2 linked regions of the Arabidopsis thaliana genome follow. The protein of the gene in region 1 interacts with the protein of each later gene in a pairwise test. Each region holds a gene or a part of one and is shown on either strand. Other genes may lie near its edges.

Evidence for each region.
Region 2: the proteins of AT3G21310 (region 1) and TMKL1 interact in a protein complementation assay, tested with the Arabidopsis thaliana proteins (one large-scale study listed by BioGRID).

What each region holds. Positions count from the first base shown.
Region 1 is NC_003074.8:7,494,021-7,502,956, reverse strand, and holds AT3G21310 (Core-2/I-branching beta-1,6-N-acetylglucosaminyltransferase family protein), read right to left. Parts: upstream 5,718-8,936; 5' UTR 5,492-5,717; intron 5,453-5,491; exon of another isoform or gene 5,405-5,452; 5' UTR 5,334-5,404; intron 5,228-5,333; 5' UTR 5,184-5,227; coding exon 4,671-5,183; intron 4,585-4,670; coding exon 3,946-4,584; 3' UTR 3,550-3,945; coding exon of another isoform or gene 2,758-3,549; 3' UTR 2,690-2,757; coding exon of another isoform or gene 2,638-2,689; 3' UTR 2,634-2,637; downstream 1-2,633. Other genes in the region: AT3G21320 (EARLY FLOWERING protein), read left to right, coding at 1,645-1,872, 2,000-2,550, 2,638-2,689, 2,758-3,549; AT3G21300 (RNA methyltransferase family protein), read left to right, coding at 6,700-7,062, 7,166-7,408, 7,488-7,649, 7,739-7,848, 8,052-8,160, 8,274-8,429, 8,519-8,634, 8,721-8,887.
Region 2 is NC_003074.8:9,000,389-9,008,479, forward strand, and holds TMKL1 (transmembrane kinase-like 1), read left to right. Parts: upstream 1-3,180; 5' UTR 3,181-3,252; coding exon 3,253-4,633; intron 4,634-4,719; coding exon 4,720-5,363; 3' UTR 5,364-5,555; downstream 5,556-8,091. Other genes in the region: ABI3 (AP2/B3-like transcriptional factor family protein), read left to right, coding at 39-115, 228-392; AT3G24670 (Pectin lyase-like superfamily protein), read right to left, coding at 5,817-6,038, 6,116-6,254, 6,338-6,441, 6,609-7,251, 8,001-8,075. UniProt on the Arabidopsis thaliana protein: Does not seem to have conserved a kinase activity.

The sequences.
Region 1 (8,936 bases):
TTTTTATTTATTGTGTTTGAAGTCTCAATGTGCTAGCGTGATCTGCAATATTAAGTTTGACTATATCTTTTCATTGTATTAACAGAAATATTTTTTTAAAATTTTGCTTAATAAAAGAAAATTTCATATTATTTTTATTAGTAACCTAATTCGGAAGTTTTGTTTTATATTCTTTTAACAAAAAAACTTTCGTAATTTTATCTATAGTTGAACGCGTTAAACAGTCAACTCTAATGAATAATTTACGAGGTAGAATAAAAAGCTTAAAATGATAGAAGTTATCACAAAGTAAAACAAACTCATCAAGAAGTTGTTGTAATTAAACTTATCATTGTATACTATTGACTTAGTTAATTTCTATTGTTACAAAAATATAAGCAATGTTATTTTTATTAGTAACCTAATTCGGAAGTTTTGTTTTATATTCTTTAAACAAAACAACTTCCGTAATTTTATCTCTAGTTGAACGCGTTAAACGGTCAACTCTAATGAATACTTTACAAAGTAGAAGAAAAAGCTTAAAATGATAGAAGTTATCACAAAGCAAAACAAACTCATCAAGAAGTTGTTGTAATTAAACTTATCATTGTATACTATTGACTTAGTTCATTTCTCTTGTTACAAAAATATAAGCAATGTTATATTATCACAATTCACAAACATTATATTACATATCATTAAATAAATAAATAAAAACCTTTAATCACGAAAGTAATTTTCAGTTGTCATCAATGAGATGACTCACAGTCTCACACGGTCACTGGTCACGTTGCTTCACCACTGTCTCCAAGTAAGATGTCTAAAATCTTGCAAAGGGCCCCAAAGACTCACACTAAATGAAACTAGTGGGCTCAAGCCCACGTATGCACACGCTCTCTTAACACGTCAAAATTTTAAAAATTCCACAACGAGACGTCGACCTTTCACGCGCTTCGGCACGTGGAAATCCATGGTCCTTTCCTATGGGTTTTGTCCTAAACCATCCTTCGGTCCGACCAAACCGCGTAAGGTAAGAAAGACTCCGACCGAACACGGCACCTTCTCCCACAATAGTGTAAAGTGATCGTGATCAGAAACAGATATTTCGCTAAAGATTAGCCCAATTTAGGAAAGATGATGATGAAGTTAGCCAAGAGAGAGATAACAAAAACATGTGGCTGTGTATGTAAAAGACCGAGTCACCCGAACATCTCCACCTTCACGCCATTCTCCTACCACTCGGACCTAACCAACCAATACCTTCCACGTCATGTACAATCCGAGTTCCCGTGAGATAGGGATCTTTACTTGAAGCAACCAGACATGACCGCAGAGTCACACACACACACACCCCTAAGCTTTTTGTCGTCCCCTCGTATGGAATCCATTGTGGGACGACACAAAAATATCTTCTTTTGCTTCTCTGCTTTCTTCTTCTTCTTCTTAAAATTTGTTTCTTTCAGGTGGATTTGATCTCCATCTACGTAAAACAAAAACAAAGTTTATAATCTTTTTGGATTTTGGGATTGATCTAAAGTGAGATTTCGATCTTGGCACTAGGTTTTGCAAGGTTACCTAACAATTTCTGGTTCTGATTTCATTTCTTTAGGTTACGTGTAAGGGAAGGAATTGTTAATAGGGTTTGTTTGTGAGCGTAGGGAAAAGATGGGAGGAATGAAAGATGAAGCAAAGAGGATAACAATTCCTCCATTGTTTCCAAGGGTTCATGTCAATGATACTGGAAGAGGAGGCCTGTCTCAACAATTTGATGGCAAAACAATGTCTCTCGTCTCTTCTAAACGTCCCAATCTTCCTTCTCCGACCAACAACATATCTGATTCTCTTTCCACTTTCTCTTTGTCTCTTCCTCCACCACCAAACAATGCCCGTCTCGTGAGTCCTTTTAATTCACTCATTCAACTTTCTTGGTTTTGTGTGTCTGCAGATTTATATACAAGAATGGTGACAATGCATATTTAGATTATCACTTTATGACTTGTTGAATACTTTTTTGTAACAGATTGATGGACCTGAAAAGAATCAGTTTTCACCAATCTACAACACAAAGTTTGAGGGGAAGCTGAATAAAAAAGGCATAAATTATACAAGTCCTAAAGGATCATCAGTTACTAATACTAAGCCTAGTTCAATAAAACAAAATGAGTACCTCAAGAACCTTACCAGCTTGGATTCTATTAAGTCTCCTATTGTTATACACTCAGAAATAGATCCACAAGCAAACACAGATTTGTCACTCCAATTTTGTACTAGCGGTAGCAGTAAACCCGGAGGAGAGGCTGTTGTTGGTTCTAAGATCCTTTTGTCAGAACGTTTGGAAGATGAAAACCAGAATGGGTCTCCCAATGTGATGAAAACTCAATCATATAGAAGAAACTTTGCTGAGTTTAACAATGAAACTCAAAAGAAGCCCAAAACTCTGCCTCGGCGTGAACAAGTTGCTTCAAACTGCTCTGCAATAGAGTCTTTGTCTGGTATAAGTGCATCTTCTTATGATATTGCCAGAGTGATTGGTGAAAAGAGGTTTTGGAAGATGAGAACATATATGATCAAGTTTGTATCCTCCTCTCACTTTTCTTATGATCCCAACTTCATAACTTTGCCGTATTTCTTACTATTTTTTATTGTTGATATTTTCAGTCAGCAAAAGATCTTTGCCGGGCAAGTATTTGAGCTCCATAGACTGATAATGGTAAGCTTTTAATAACCTTATTGTTTCTGGTTTGCTTTCTATGCTTCAGATTACTTAATATGATGCAGGTTCAAAAGATGGTTGCGAAGTCGCCAAACTTGTTTCTTGAAAGTAAGCTTAATGGTGTCAAACATGGTACAATGAGGTCATCACATCAGCTTGCAATGGCGGCTTCAAAGGTTAGAAAGCCAAACACTGAGAATCACAAACCTGTACCTGAAGAATATCCAGAGCATATGAAACCAAAGCTTCCTCTACCTTCCATAAGCAAAGAACTCGTGACTCCTATTTGGCCACAACAGCTACTTCCTCCTCCTGGAAACCAATGGTTAGTTCCTGTAATAACTGATTCAGACGGTCTGGTCTATAAACCATTTCCAGGACCATGTCCTCCTTCTTCTTCAGCCTTCATGGTTCCAGTTTATGGCCAAGATTCACTCGAGACACCATTCAGGTTCCCTGTTTCTTCTCCATTCAGCCACAGCTACTTCCCACCTCCTAACGCGAGGACAACAGTTGACCAAACAAACCCGTTTGGTCAGTTTCAAAGATGGTCTAACACATCAAGCCACATGACACAAGCCATTCCATTTTCTTTAAAGAAGTCTCAGGAATCTAATGACAGTGACATACATGGAAGCACAGCTTCAAGTCCACCAGAGAAGCATAAACTTGAAGTGCTTCCTCTGTTTCCTACAGAGCCTACCCATCAAACTGATGAGTACAAGCAGAAACAGCAACCGATGCTTCGCGCCATTAAAGCCGTTCCTCATAATTCAACATCTGCCTCTGAATCTGCTGCAAGGATCTTCCGTTTCATTCAGGAAGAAAGGAGGGACTCAGATCATATGATTAGTTAGTTCTTTTATATTTGAAACCCTTCCACATTCTTTTGCTCTCATTGCTTCTTCATCTAGCTTAGATTTTCAGTATATTCTATTTACTCTTCTTATGAAGATGTAAATCAAATACTATCACTATACATTAAACATACACACACTTATACACACATCTTACATTGTTCTTGTATTGACAAACAGCTAATAAAAGATAGACTTTTGTGCTTCTATTCCAGTTTTGAGGAGTTTAAACATTGGAACAAGAAGAGTTCTTTAGCCATTGAAGTATCTATATTATCAATGTGGAAGGAGACAATAAGGATCAGAGTTGTGTCCATGCTATACGAAGCTACACTCAAGTTCAAGAACATTTCAGAACAAAAACCAAGAACAAAAAGAAGACAAGAGATCCATTAATTAGAACCCAAGAACCTTTGGTGCAAGTTTAAGTAAAGGCTTCAATGCGCTTGGAGCAAACTTTCTTGCAAAAAGATAACAAACTTGAGATGGCTGATCATTGTAGAAGCAAGCTTTACCTCTTGACAGCTTCTTGATGAACTTCTCTGTTATATCAGCCTTGCCAAAAGTAGCTGGATGAGCACCACCCCTTGACCAATCTGTCCAAGTCAATGTCCGATTAGCGAGAAAATCCGGATATCCAATAGAGAGCATTGTTGGGAAGTAATGTTCATCTACATAACAAGGAGGTCTACAAAACTCTTTGAATTTGTTATAGTAAACCATGTCTTCAACAATATCAACAGCAAGTGCTCTGTTTATTTCAAACCACTGAGACCCTTTTCTCCACTCGTTTAGACTTACTTCTGGTCCCATTGCATAGCTATATCTGCCTCTCCCGTAAGGCCCGTCCTCGTCAACAGAACCCATGAAACTATATCTTGATCTAGAGACATAACGGTAGACAAAGTTGAAACCGCGAAGAGGAATACACGCTTCAGATAGTAAAACAAACCATTCGTTAGAGATATCGAGCAACGCGTTAGCCAAAAGCCTCCTTTCAGCATCACACATACTCATCTCTCCCCAAGCTACATGCTACACACAAATAAAGAAACTCCGAAGTGAGATAAACCAAATCAAGACACAAGAAGCAACATTAATACATTGATCAACAAAAGTACCTGACTTGGGATCTGTCTTCTGTAAAACACAGATGAGCTTGGGAAATCTGATCTATAATTTGGCAAAGTATGAACATAGATTGAGTAAAAGCCCTCATGCCCTTTGAAAAACCTTTCCCAAAGTGGAGCAAATGGCAAAGGTCCTTTGGTGAGAAACATGAATGCCATTTTAGGAACTCTTTTAAATGGATAGTCAAGTATCCGAGGCTCCATCGAAGCACGCCAAAGAAGCTCACTGTCATTCATGGAATGCCAACCATTCAATGGAGGCTTGATAAGGCTCTCTAACGTAATTCTCTCATCATAAGTAGAGATCAATGTCGATGGAGCTAAAGTTTGAATCTTTAAGTACTTGATCATGTGCATACTAATGACTGAGATTCCAAGAACCAAAACAAAGAACAACAAGAAAACTTGAAGCACCCGCATCGGTAAAAGAGCTTTAAGTTGGTTTGTAGGTCTTGAATTGGGAGCTGATGCAGCATTATCTTTAATCCCTTCCTCCATCCCCATCAGGCTTCAGTGTCTTGATGAACAGAACCTGTTCTGTTTATATGCTACTTACATAAGAAGAGAAACACAATTAGATTGTCTATCCTAAAACATTCACAAATCTCAGTAGATTGTCTACCCTCAACCAATCAGACAAGAATGAGGATTTACCAAATAGGGTTTTGTCCGGAAACGTAGGCAAGCAAAAACGTACGAGAAGCTCCAAATTCTAACCTTAGTTCCTGTCGTTTTAGAAGAACAGAGACAAAGAATGACGAATTTGATTGGAGAAAGAAAAGAAAGATTGAAACTTTGAATGGAAACTTTACCCAAAAAAAAAAGGTAGAAAATTAGGATTTGGATCTTCTCAGACACGCAATTCGTTCAGCTGTCGGATTCGTTCATGATTTGTCTGTCGTGAGCAGGAAGACGTGCAAATGGAGGTTAAGTCTTGTCTGATGATCGTATTCGAGAGATGTCTCTGAAACTCTAATCTGATTTTGGTATCTACTTTTGGAAACAGAGAGCTTAAATGTAAAGAAACTCACAATAAAGCATTAAACCCTAGTTAGGACATTTGTATCTGTTGGTCTCTTTTGTAACTGACGGTCTTAATACGTTTTATTACAATTTAGACAAAACGTATTACGGTTTGATTACGATGTACTGTAGTATTAAATAAACTATTCGGAAACACACGCTTCATGTAATTAATGTGGGTTTTGGGTTTGATGTCTTTAATTTTTTCAATGTTTATATAATTCTCCAGTTTGGTTAAATCTGTTTCAACAACTTTGTACAACTTTGTTTTTGTTTGCTAAGAAATATTTTTCTAACAACTAACAAGTTATATTATCAAGTTGATAATCAGTACTTTGCCACTAAAAGAATTCAGAATTATTAATTTGCATAAAAAACAAAATCAAAAATCTGATTTCATAGTTGATATCAAAAGTAAAAGTAAAAGAGGCATACCGAAATTGTTGGAATATGAAAGTTGTTTTGGTTCAAAATCTTGTAGTGGGAACAAAGCTTTCAAAGTGAAAAATTGCAAGAATTGTTCTATAGTCAAGTACGATTCTATTCTATTCCAAAGATTACTTAATCCACAAAAGATAAAAGAGCAAGTAGAAAAAAAATTGAGTGTCTCAGGCTGCTCATTTGTTGGAAGTTTTCTCCAGTAGTTTCGGATCCGAACCAAACCCAAAAACCTGAATTCGAAAGGTAAACCCGATCCGAATCGAACCTAGGAACCAAACTGAACTCCACCCAAACATTATAAATATCCGAATGGGCTCTAAGAGCCTAAATCCGAAAACCCCGAACGGATACCCGTATACCGAGCCCTGACTAATCAGCATTCAGTAGCAACTCTCAAAACGCTGTCGTTGTGGGTTTAGTATATGATTAGGGGTTTAAGCTATACAAGACGAAGAAGATAGGTCGACGCAAACACGATGTCGTTTTGAAATCTATTCACACTGTTCTCTCTTATCAACAGATTCAGAAATTAGCACCCGACTCGGGCTCCGTTTCAATGTTGGCCGCGACGCCTGCTCATGGACTCAGGTACGTGGTGGTGCCCACACGCTCATGGCTTCATAGGTTTCGATGCTGCTCGTCTTCTCTCGCTCCTCTCTCCCCTTCTGAATTCTCGGGCGGTAATAAAGCCCAGAAGAAGCTCAACGACGAGAACAACACCAACGTAAGCAATGAGAAAACGGCGCCGTATTATCCGAAACGAGGAGAAACAGTGGAGCTTGTGTGCGAGAGTTTAGGATTCAAAGGCAAAGGAATCTGTAAAGTTGATGGAACTGGCTACGTCGTTATGTGTGACCGAGCTCTTCCCGGCGAACGTTTTCTTGGCCGTGTCACTCGCCGCAAAGGCAGCTATGCTGAAGTAGGTTTCATAAAAACTTCACCTTTATCTTCTAATTACGATTTTTAGTTATAAAGTTACGATTTTTAGTTTTGATTTGTTGTTTTTTGGTTGTTTCTCTTAGGTGACAAAAATGAAGACAATATCTCCACATAAGGACTTAGTAGAAGCTCCATGTGAGTATGCATCTTACTGTGGTGGTTGCAAAACTCAGAATCTCTCTTATGAAGCTCAGCTTAGAGCTAAAGAAGAGCAAGTTCATGAGCTTATCAGACATGTTGGAAGGTTTTCTGATAACAATCCTGGCCTTGAGATTGTCTTGAAGCCTATTGTTGCTTGCGATATTCAATTCCATTATCGGAATAAGGTTTGTTTGATTGTTGTGCTTATTGGTTGGTGCTTTGGTTTTAGACTCTGTGCTTATAAATGTTGACATTTTGAATTAGATGGAGTTTTCATTTGGTCCACAAAGATGGCTTCCGATTGAAATGTTAAACGAGAGACAAGATGGTCCTAAGAACTTTGCATTGGGGCTCCATGCACCTGGATTTTTTGATAAGGTTTTAAATGTTGATAAGTGCTTATTACAGAGCGAGCCAGGAAACTTGGTATGGTGAAAGTAGTTATACAGAATTTTGATCTGTGTAGAGCTCTCCTCTCAGAATCATTAATAACTTTTTTTTATAAATCAAAATAGGTTCTTGCTGCTGTCCAAGATTGCTGGAGAGATCCTGAATTAAGTCTTTCACCATATGATTGTCGTTCACATGTTGGGTTTCTTAAACATTTGATGCTGAGAACTGGAAGGTATTAAAGGTACTTGAATCATATTGTCGGTAGAATAAGAAACTTGTTCTTGTAACATAAGACCAGTAACAGGGAATAGTGTGTTTGTCATGATGAACTAGAATTGATGGGAGTGAAAAATGATAGTTAAATCTGTGCTATTCGATAGTTCTTTCATTGCACTAGTTTTTCTGATGTTTTCTTGTGATTAAACTTGACCATAGGAATGTGGAGACTGGTTCACTAGAACTTATGGTCAATTTTGTGACATCGTCTTATAAGCCAGAGCTGTTGAAACCCCTGGTTGATAGGATTTCATCAATTCCTCAAGTGGTTAGTACTGAATCCGATTTGCTTCATTCCTACAACCCGTAATTGAGTAGCATTTTTCTTGGTTTGTAATTTAACAATTTCCATACTTTTTTACTTGGCTCATACAAATACAGGTAAGCATTATGAATAATGTAAATTCTTCGGTAGGAAACACATCCGTTGGCGAAAAGGAATATACTCTTTATGGGAAGGATACAATCACAGAGGTCTTAAGAGGGCTTACATTTCAAATTTCAGCCAACTCTTTCTTTCAGACTAACACTCATCAGGTATATGGTACCACTAAGCAACATGGTTTCTTTTACACTCAAAACATTAATCACAACTTGTTGAAAATAAAATGGTGTTCACTGTGTAGGCTGAAGTTTTATATAAGCTTATTGAGGAATCTGCTGGACTTAAAGGAGATGGCTCAGAAGTCGTGCTCGATCTTTTCTGTGGAACTGGTACCATAGGCCTTACACTTGCCAGAAGGTAAACAACATGAGCGTAAAGTACTGTCAAAGATTAAAAATAAAATTGCAGTTGCTGATTGTTCAGTCTGATTCTTCTCCCTCTAGGGCGAAACACGTGTATGGTTATGAAGTAGTACCACAAGCAATAACAGATGCACACAAGAATGCCCAAATAAACGGCATAGAGAATGCAACATTCATCCAAGGGGATCTAAACAAAATAGGAGAAGATTTTGGGAACAATTTCCCTAAGCCTGATATCGTTATTTCTGGTTATAATCATCTTCTTCACATAGTTAAATTTCATCTAGGTTCTAATAC
Region 2 (8,091 bases), 1.5 Mb from region 1:
GCATACATATCTAATTTTCCTTGAAATTACGTTTACAGGCGATTTTGTGAAAACCAATGGGCTCCAAGAAGGTGATTTCATAGTCATATACTCCGACGTCAAATGTGGCAAATATGTAAGAGAAGCATCACAATATTTTTCTATACTTTTCATTAGTATTTAACTCTCATCATTACTTTTGTTGGTATTTATCTTGTCATAATTAATTGAGAATAATATTATGACAGTTGATACGAGGGGTTAAAGTAAGACAACCGAGCGGACAAAAGCCGGAGGCCCCACCGTCGTCAGCAGCTACGAAGAGACAAAACAAGTCGCAAAGGAACATAAACAATAACTCTCCGTCGGCGAATGTGGTGGTCGCTTCACCAACTTCTCAAACTGTTAAATGAAAAACAGAGACAAAAAGAAACAATATAAATATTATTATGTACCAAATAAGAAAGAGGGCAAAAGGAAAAAATGGCAGCGTACCCGAGTGTGCCACTTCTCGTGCATGCATGGGATCTTGAAGACAAATGGAGGGTCATGATTAAAGCTGTTTGGTCGGGGTCCGGGTTTTTACTCCATTTTTTGCTTTTTCTTGTCGAGTCGGTTCTTTTATAACTCTTTACTCTTTTTACCTTCAGGATATTGTAGAGATGATTAATTCTGGAAATGGTGTTTGTGTTATATTTCTGGAGAGATGATTATATAGTTCTTTTGTTGTTGTAATTGGTTAATATTACATATGTGGCTCATTTCTTGAGTCGAGCTTACATATCGTTTATAATGTGAATGTTTTAAGAAGAGTTGAATGATACAATATTTTTACACAAACATTGATAATGATAATAAAAATGATAATTAATGTACAAAATTATTTGTAAATATGGACATATGGACAATTTAAGAAGGAATTGAGATAATTAATTTTGTACATTAATTATCATTATCAATGTACAAAATTATTTGTAAATATGGACATATGGACAATTTAATGATAGTAAAAATGATAATTAATGATAATTAATGTACAAAATGATAATTAATGTACATATGGACATATGTACAAAATTATCCATATCATTCACATATTCACATTGTAAATATTTGTAAATAGAATGTTTACATATGGACATTTTAAGAAGAGTTGTTCCTTACCACTTTGATTCTATCATTTTCTTGTTTATCTAGTTAGCTTGAACCCTTTGTATTATTGAGTAACGAAAATCTTTGGAGGAAAAAAACAAGTGAGGTAGGATTATAATTTTCCTCATATAAGTGTGTTGTTTGTGATACATCATTATTCTTTCTTATTTTTGGTTAAACCCAAAAACTGGACCGCACCTAAGGAATTGAGATATTCAAAAAAACAATGATCTGACCCGTGCCAAATATCCACACCACACCTTTCTCCATTCAGGCCCTACTAGAAAGCCGTGAGACGGTTGACAACTTGAAAACAAAAGACTTATAATGAGACTATGAGAAACAAAAAAGAAAGTGGAGTTGATGAAATAATCTGATCTTATGAAAGTGAAGTTGATTACAAAAGGAGCAGCGTGGTAGTTGAATAGTTTCAGATGTTGATAAAGACGTGACATACATAGTTGTCTCAGTAATCTAATCAAGGACTCCTCATGTTTCTAACTTCTTCTTCTATAAAGTTGCATGAGATTTATATCTGGAGAACATATATTGCTCTAATTATGTGGTCTTATTATCATCAATATATGCCTTTTTCTACATATGAATATATGATCGACATGTATAGATATTTTTTGTTGTTCAAAAAAAAAAAATGTATAGATATTTTTTTCATTTTCCAAAAGGATTGAATTTCGAAATGGTGTAGCCACCTTAGAGGTATACAACAATAAATAATTTTCCCGACTTGTAACAAATGTTTGGAACAAAAGTGTCAATTAGAATCAAAGTAACCATCAGATGCCTTTTATAAATTTCTTTATCTATGATTATTTTTTAACCAAATTCAGACACTTCTATATTACTAAAAGCCAAACTTGATATCTATTTCAACAAAAAAATTTTTTTTTAGTCTGCTGTGACTCAGTATATCTAATTGTTTTCACATCATTCATAAACTTTTACTAGTCCATTGTAAAATACAGTATATTAGAAATTGTTTTCCTATCTATATATGCTTAGGTTTAAGAAAACAACTTTTGGCCATGAATATTTGAGTTTTTAAGTGGTTTTGGATTATAGATTTTGCCAAAAGGAAAAAATATTGATTTAAAATTACAAAAAGAAATCTGCAAACAATTATCAAAAACTCATTAAAGTGGGATTTATTTTTCATTTTGTTTACAAAAATGCGAACTCTAATCTTGATTGGATAATTAAATGGGTTTTTGGAAAACCAATAACTATGCTATAAAGTATAAACTACTACCATTCAAGCCTTCTATTTTTCTATGCCAAAAAATACTACGCAAAAAAAATTGAGCGTGTTTGATCCAACAATAAAACAAATTACTCAATCTTGTTTGATGTCAAAATCCAAATCCAAAATATGTTTCGGACACCTGACCGGTCTACTCGATTGACACCCCTGAAATTTCGAAATAGACAATACACAAAAGGACATAGACAACATAACTTCATCTCACTTAGATATTCACATTTCCCATTTTTCAAAATATTGGCTCTTCATTTTCTGTGTACTTCCAACAAATTGTCTTCTAGAGAAACCAAAACTATCTAAGATTTCTCCACCTTCTCCATCATCCACCGTTGATTCACTCATCTCATGTCTCCAATGACTCATCTACGGTCAAGATTCAAGGAGCATGAAACATCCCATGAACCAAATTACACAAAAACATTTACCTTGATAAAAAAACATCATTTTATTATTTTGGCAGAAGAAAAAGTCTTAATTCGAACTTTGAGCGTGCTTATAGTTTAATCAATTAAAGTTATAAAGAAAAGTAACTTTATAAATTCAGGAGTAATCAGTAGATTTATACCATTCTTGTCCATCGCTTTAAGCCACACTTGATCGGACGGTAAGCAATCAATCCGGTTTACACTTTCTGATTATAAAGATTCCAACTTTTGGTTATATCGGACGGTTAATAATCAATACGGTTTGAGTTTAAATCATAGCCGTTGAGATGTTTGACTAAAGTGTTTACAAAGTAGTCAACACTCTCTTTCTGCTACAAAGGACCAGTCTTGAAACTCAAAGTCCTTACCTTTCCCTTCTCTAACCTCTCTTTCTCTTTCTCTGTCTCTTTGTGAGAAATGGGCATGGAAGCTTTGAGATTTCTTCATGTTATCTTCTTCTTTGTGCTAATTCTTCACTGTCATTGTGGAACATCTCTCTCTGGTTCTTCTGATGTGAAGCTTCTTTTAGGAAAAATCAAGTCTTCACTACAAGGAAACAGTGAGAGCTTACTGTTGTCTTCTTGGAACTCCTCTGTTCCTGTTTGTCAATGGAGAGGTGTAAAATGGGTATTTTCAAATGGGTCTCCTCTTCAATGTAGTGACCTCTCTTCACCACAATGGACTAATACCTCTCTGTTCAACGACTCTTCTCTTCACCTTCTCTCTCTTCAGCTTCCTTCTGCTAATCTCACTGGTTCACTCCCTAGAGAGATTGGTGAGTTCTCTATGCTTCAAAGTGTGTTCCTCAACATCAATTCATTAAGTGGGTCAATCCCTCTTGAGCTTGGTTACACTTCTTCTCTCTCTGATGTTGATTTGAGTGGTAATGCCTTAGCTGGGGTTTTGCCTCCATCGATTTGGAACCTCTGTGATAAGCTTGTCTCTTTCAAGATTCATGGTAATAACTTGTCTGGGGTTTTGCCTGAGCCTGCTTTGCCAAATTCGACTTGTGGTAATCTCCAAGTTCTTGATTTGGGTGGTAATAAGTTCTCAGGTGAGTTTCCTGAGTTTATAACTAGGTTTAAAGGTGTGAAGTCACTTGATCTTTCAAGTAATGTCTTTGAAGGTCTTGTTCCTGAGGGTTTAGGTGTATTAGAGCTAGAAAGTCTCAATCTTTCTCATAATAACTTCAGTGGGATGTTGCCAGATTTTGGTGAGTCAAAGTTTGGAGCAGAATCTTTCGAAGGGAACAGTCCTAGCCTTTGTGGTTTGCCTTTGAAGCCTTGTCTAGGCTCCTCTAGGTTAAGTCCAGGTGCTGTTGCTGGTCTGGTGATTGGTTTAATGTCTGGAGCTGTTGTTGTGGCCTCGTTGTTAATAGGGTATTTGCAGAACAAGAAAAGAAAGAGTAGTATAGAGAGTGAAGATGATTTGGAAGAAGGTGATGAAGAAGATGAAATCGGTGAGAAAGAAGGCGGTGAAGGAAAGTTAGTTGTGTTTCAAGGTGGTGAGAATCTGACGTTGGATGATGTTTTGAATGCTACTGGGCAAGTTATGGAGAAGACTAGCTATGGTACTGTCTATAAAGCTAAGCTTAGTGATGGAGGGAATATTGCATTGAGGCTATTGAGAGAAGGTACTTGCAAGGATAGAAGTTCTTGTCTGCCTGTTATAAGGCAGTTAGGACGCATTCGGCATGAGAATTTGGTTCCCTTGAGAGCTTTCTATCAAGGGAAGAGAGGAGAAAAGCTTCTCATCTATGACTATCTTCCCAACATAAGCTTACATGATTTGTTGCATGGTATTTTCTTTCATCATCAATCTTTTTTGCCATGGATCTTTCTTGGTTGATTTTTGTTATTCATGTGTTGTTTGAATGATGTGCAGAAAGTAAACCTCGAAAGCCAGCTTTGAATTGGGCTAGGAGACACAAGATTGCACTTGGAATAGCGAGGGGACTTGCTTATCTTCATACTGGACAAGAAGTTCCTATCATCCATGGAAATATTAGATCAAAGAACGTGCTTGTGGACGACTTTTTCTTTGCAAGGCTAACTGAGTTTGGGCTTGACAAGATAATGGTACAGGCAGTAGCAGATGAGATTGTCTCGCAGGCGAAATCCGACGGGTACAAAGCACCTGAACTCCACAAGATGAAGAAATGCAATCCAAGGAGTGATGTTTACGCCTTTGGGATCCTTCTCTTGGAGATATTGATGGGTAAGAAACCAGGAAAGAGTGGAAGGAACGGTAATGAGTTTGTGGACTTGCCTTCTTTGGTTAAAGCTGCGGTGTTGGAAGAGACGACAATGGAGGTTTTCGACTTGGAGGCAATGAAAGGGATTAGGAGCCCAATGGAAGAAGGTTTGGTTCATGCATTGAAGCTAGCGATGGGATGTTGTGCTCCTGTTACAACAGTTAGACCCAGCATGGAAGAGGTTGTGAAGCAGTTGGAAGAGAACAGACCGAGGAATAGATCCGCATTGTACAGCCCAACCGAAACCAGGAGCGACGCCGAAACTCCATTTTGAGTCTAATTGTGTTCTTCTACAAGCTTTTTTTTTCTTCTGTAATTCCTCACTTTAGTTGGCTATATTTGTTTCCTTGGCAAGAAACCATTCTGATTTGATTTTATCTATATTTGTTGATGAGAAATGGTGTAAGTGTAACAGAAGCAGTTCAAAGTATTAATATTGATAGAAGAATATATGATACATGATGATACACCAAATGAGTAATGAGGCAGAAGAAGAATGCACTGTACTACAATTTTGGAGTTGAGTCGAACAACACTGCGGCTCATCAAAGCTGGCCTAGGTTGACGAGTGGAGGCAGAGAAGAGTCTAAAATGGTAAAAGAGAAAAGAAAGGAGACGATGAAAATGTAAATGACGGGGACGAAGAAAACAAGTTAGTTTTCTTCCTTTGTCTCCCTCAGCTAGTCAGTATCCTCTTCGGTCTTGGGTTTGAGGATTATACAATTAACTAACACCGCATACCGATCCTGCATTTAAGGGCACCGGAGCTGTAGGTAAGCATACTTACTACAGAAGCTGGTTTAGCTCCCAAGCTAGAGGCTCTGGCATAGCTTGCAGGAGCAGCAGCTCCAGATTTAGTGAAGTAGGCACCGTTGAGCATTAGGTCTCCTTGAGATCTCCAGTTCCATTGCTTCCATTCCCCTTGCCATGAACCTACCCTCTTTGTCACCTGCCAAAACCATTACAATATTGAGATTCATCCTTTCTCAATATCTCCTACTCCGAAAGAGAGAAATTAAGGTATACCTCTTTGGCGAAAGGGTTGCCCGGGGCAAGGAAACGATTGCCTTGACTATTGATAGTAGGGTTAGCACTTCCACCAATTGCATACATTACCCAATGAGTATAATCATTGTTTACAACATGGAAATAACCATGTCTACACCTGAAATAACAACAAAAGAATCAGCCCTCCTGATTCTTGTAGCAAACAATCATCGAAAAGAAAACATGAAATGCATGACGAACCTCGGCATTCTCTGTATAAGCCCTTCCCCAAAATGGTTATATGCTATTGTCACTTGCATCAACTTGTCTCTAGTGTACGAATCACTATGCCCCATCAACATAACCTGCATTATCCATCAAGAAACTTCTTCTCAACTCTTTAACACACCCTACACAATTCAGTTCACTATACTAACTAATTTAGCTACTAAATCAACCAAAATCCACTCCAAAAACGTGATTCTGCAGCAAATTCATCATCAGTTCCACTGAATCAGCAAAGAAAGCTAACCTCGTTGTGGTGAGTCATGTAGTTATTGGAGATAGTAATAGCAGTAGATCCCATAATAGCATCAATCAAACCATCAGCACAATTAGACAAAGAGTTATGATCAATCCAAATATGACTCGATCCAAATATCGATATAGCATCACCATCCGCCATAGTCCTCCACCCATAATGCGACGGCGAGCTTCGAACCATAGCATTACCAGTTCTTCTACAATCATGTACATTAATCCCATGGATGATAATATTCGTCACATACTGAATCGTAATACAAGCACCGCCTGCGATTGCAACGTTCACGCCTCTTCCATCGATTGTTTTGAAGCTGTTCATGATTAGCTCTTGAGTTAGAGTAATCACCATGTCTCGCTTGAAGACGATCCATAACGGACGGTCTTGTATCACAGCGTGACGGAGTGTTCCTGGTCGTGGATTAACCGCGTCGTGGTCAGATGGATCTGTGACTACGTAGTAACGACCATCTCGTCCTCCGATAGCGTTACGACCGAATCCGATCGCGCAATTCGCGAGACGCTTTCGTCGGAGATGCCAATTCCGATCACATCTCCAACAGTCGTCTATTGGGTTTCCGGTGGCGCATGAGAAGAATCCTAACCTCCTCCGCTCTGTACTGTTCTTTATTTTCCTGAAAATAACAAAAAGAGAACAGAGTTATTAAATTGTTACAAATTGACCCGTGAAGTTTTTATTTTCCTGAAAATAACAAAAAGAGAACAGAGTTATTAAACTGTTACAAATTGACCCGTGAAGTTTTTGATTTCACATTAAAGCCCTCTTGGAGTTCAAAAATCACGTGGAGGAGAAGAAGGAACCATGTGGTGTAATAAATGTAAACCATTTATACGGAATCATATGATACGGACCATACGGAAACTTTTTTATATCATTCTTTTTAATTTTATTTTAACTTTCTATTTTTGTGATGTTTTAAATAAATGTTAGAACGTAAAGAATCTGATATATTTTATGGACAAAAATGTGTATACATTAATTACAAAATTTTGCGTCGGTGGGAAAAAAAAATAGCGACGATAGAGGCGCTTTAAATGGCGATCACGGCGTGTCTGTGTCACATTCACATATAGACACACAAGTTGTACAAAACTTCTGGTCTAAAAAGAGGTTTAAATCAAAAGAGTGTAGAATTAAACATTTATGGGAACATTATGGGTGCAATTTAATTATATTTTTGGGTGTTTCCTATGTAAATTAAAATTTAAGGAATCACACAACGTTTGACTATCTGAAACGTTGTTATTATTATGAAAGTGAGATGTACATAACGTATATTAATTGCTAATTAAAATATGTTACATTTTTGCATAAAAACCATATACTTGTATAATAACAAATGAGGATAGAGAGAGGTCTTACATATCGACCATTGCAGCTACTTCTTCTGGGTTTTTAACTGCGTGTTCATTCCATGCACCGTCGTCGTTAGGTAACCTGAGAAAACATAGCT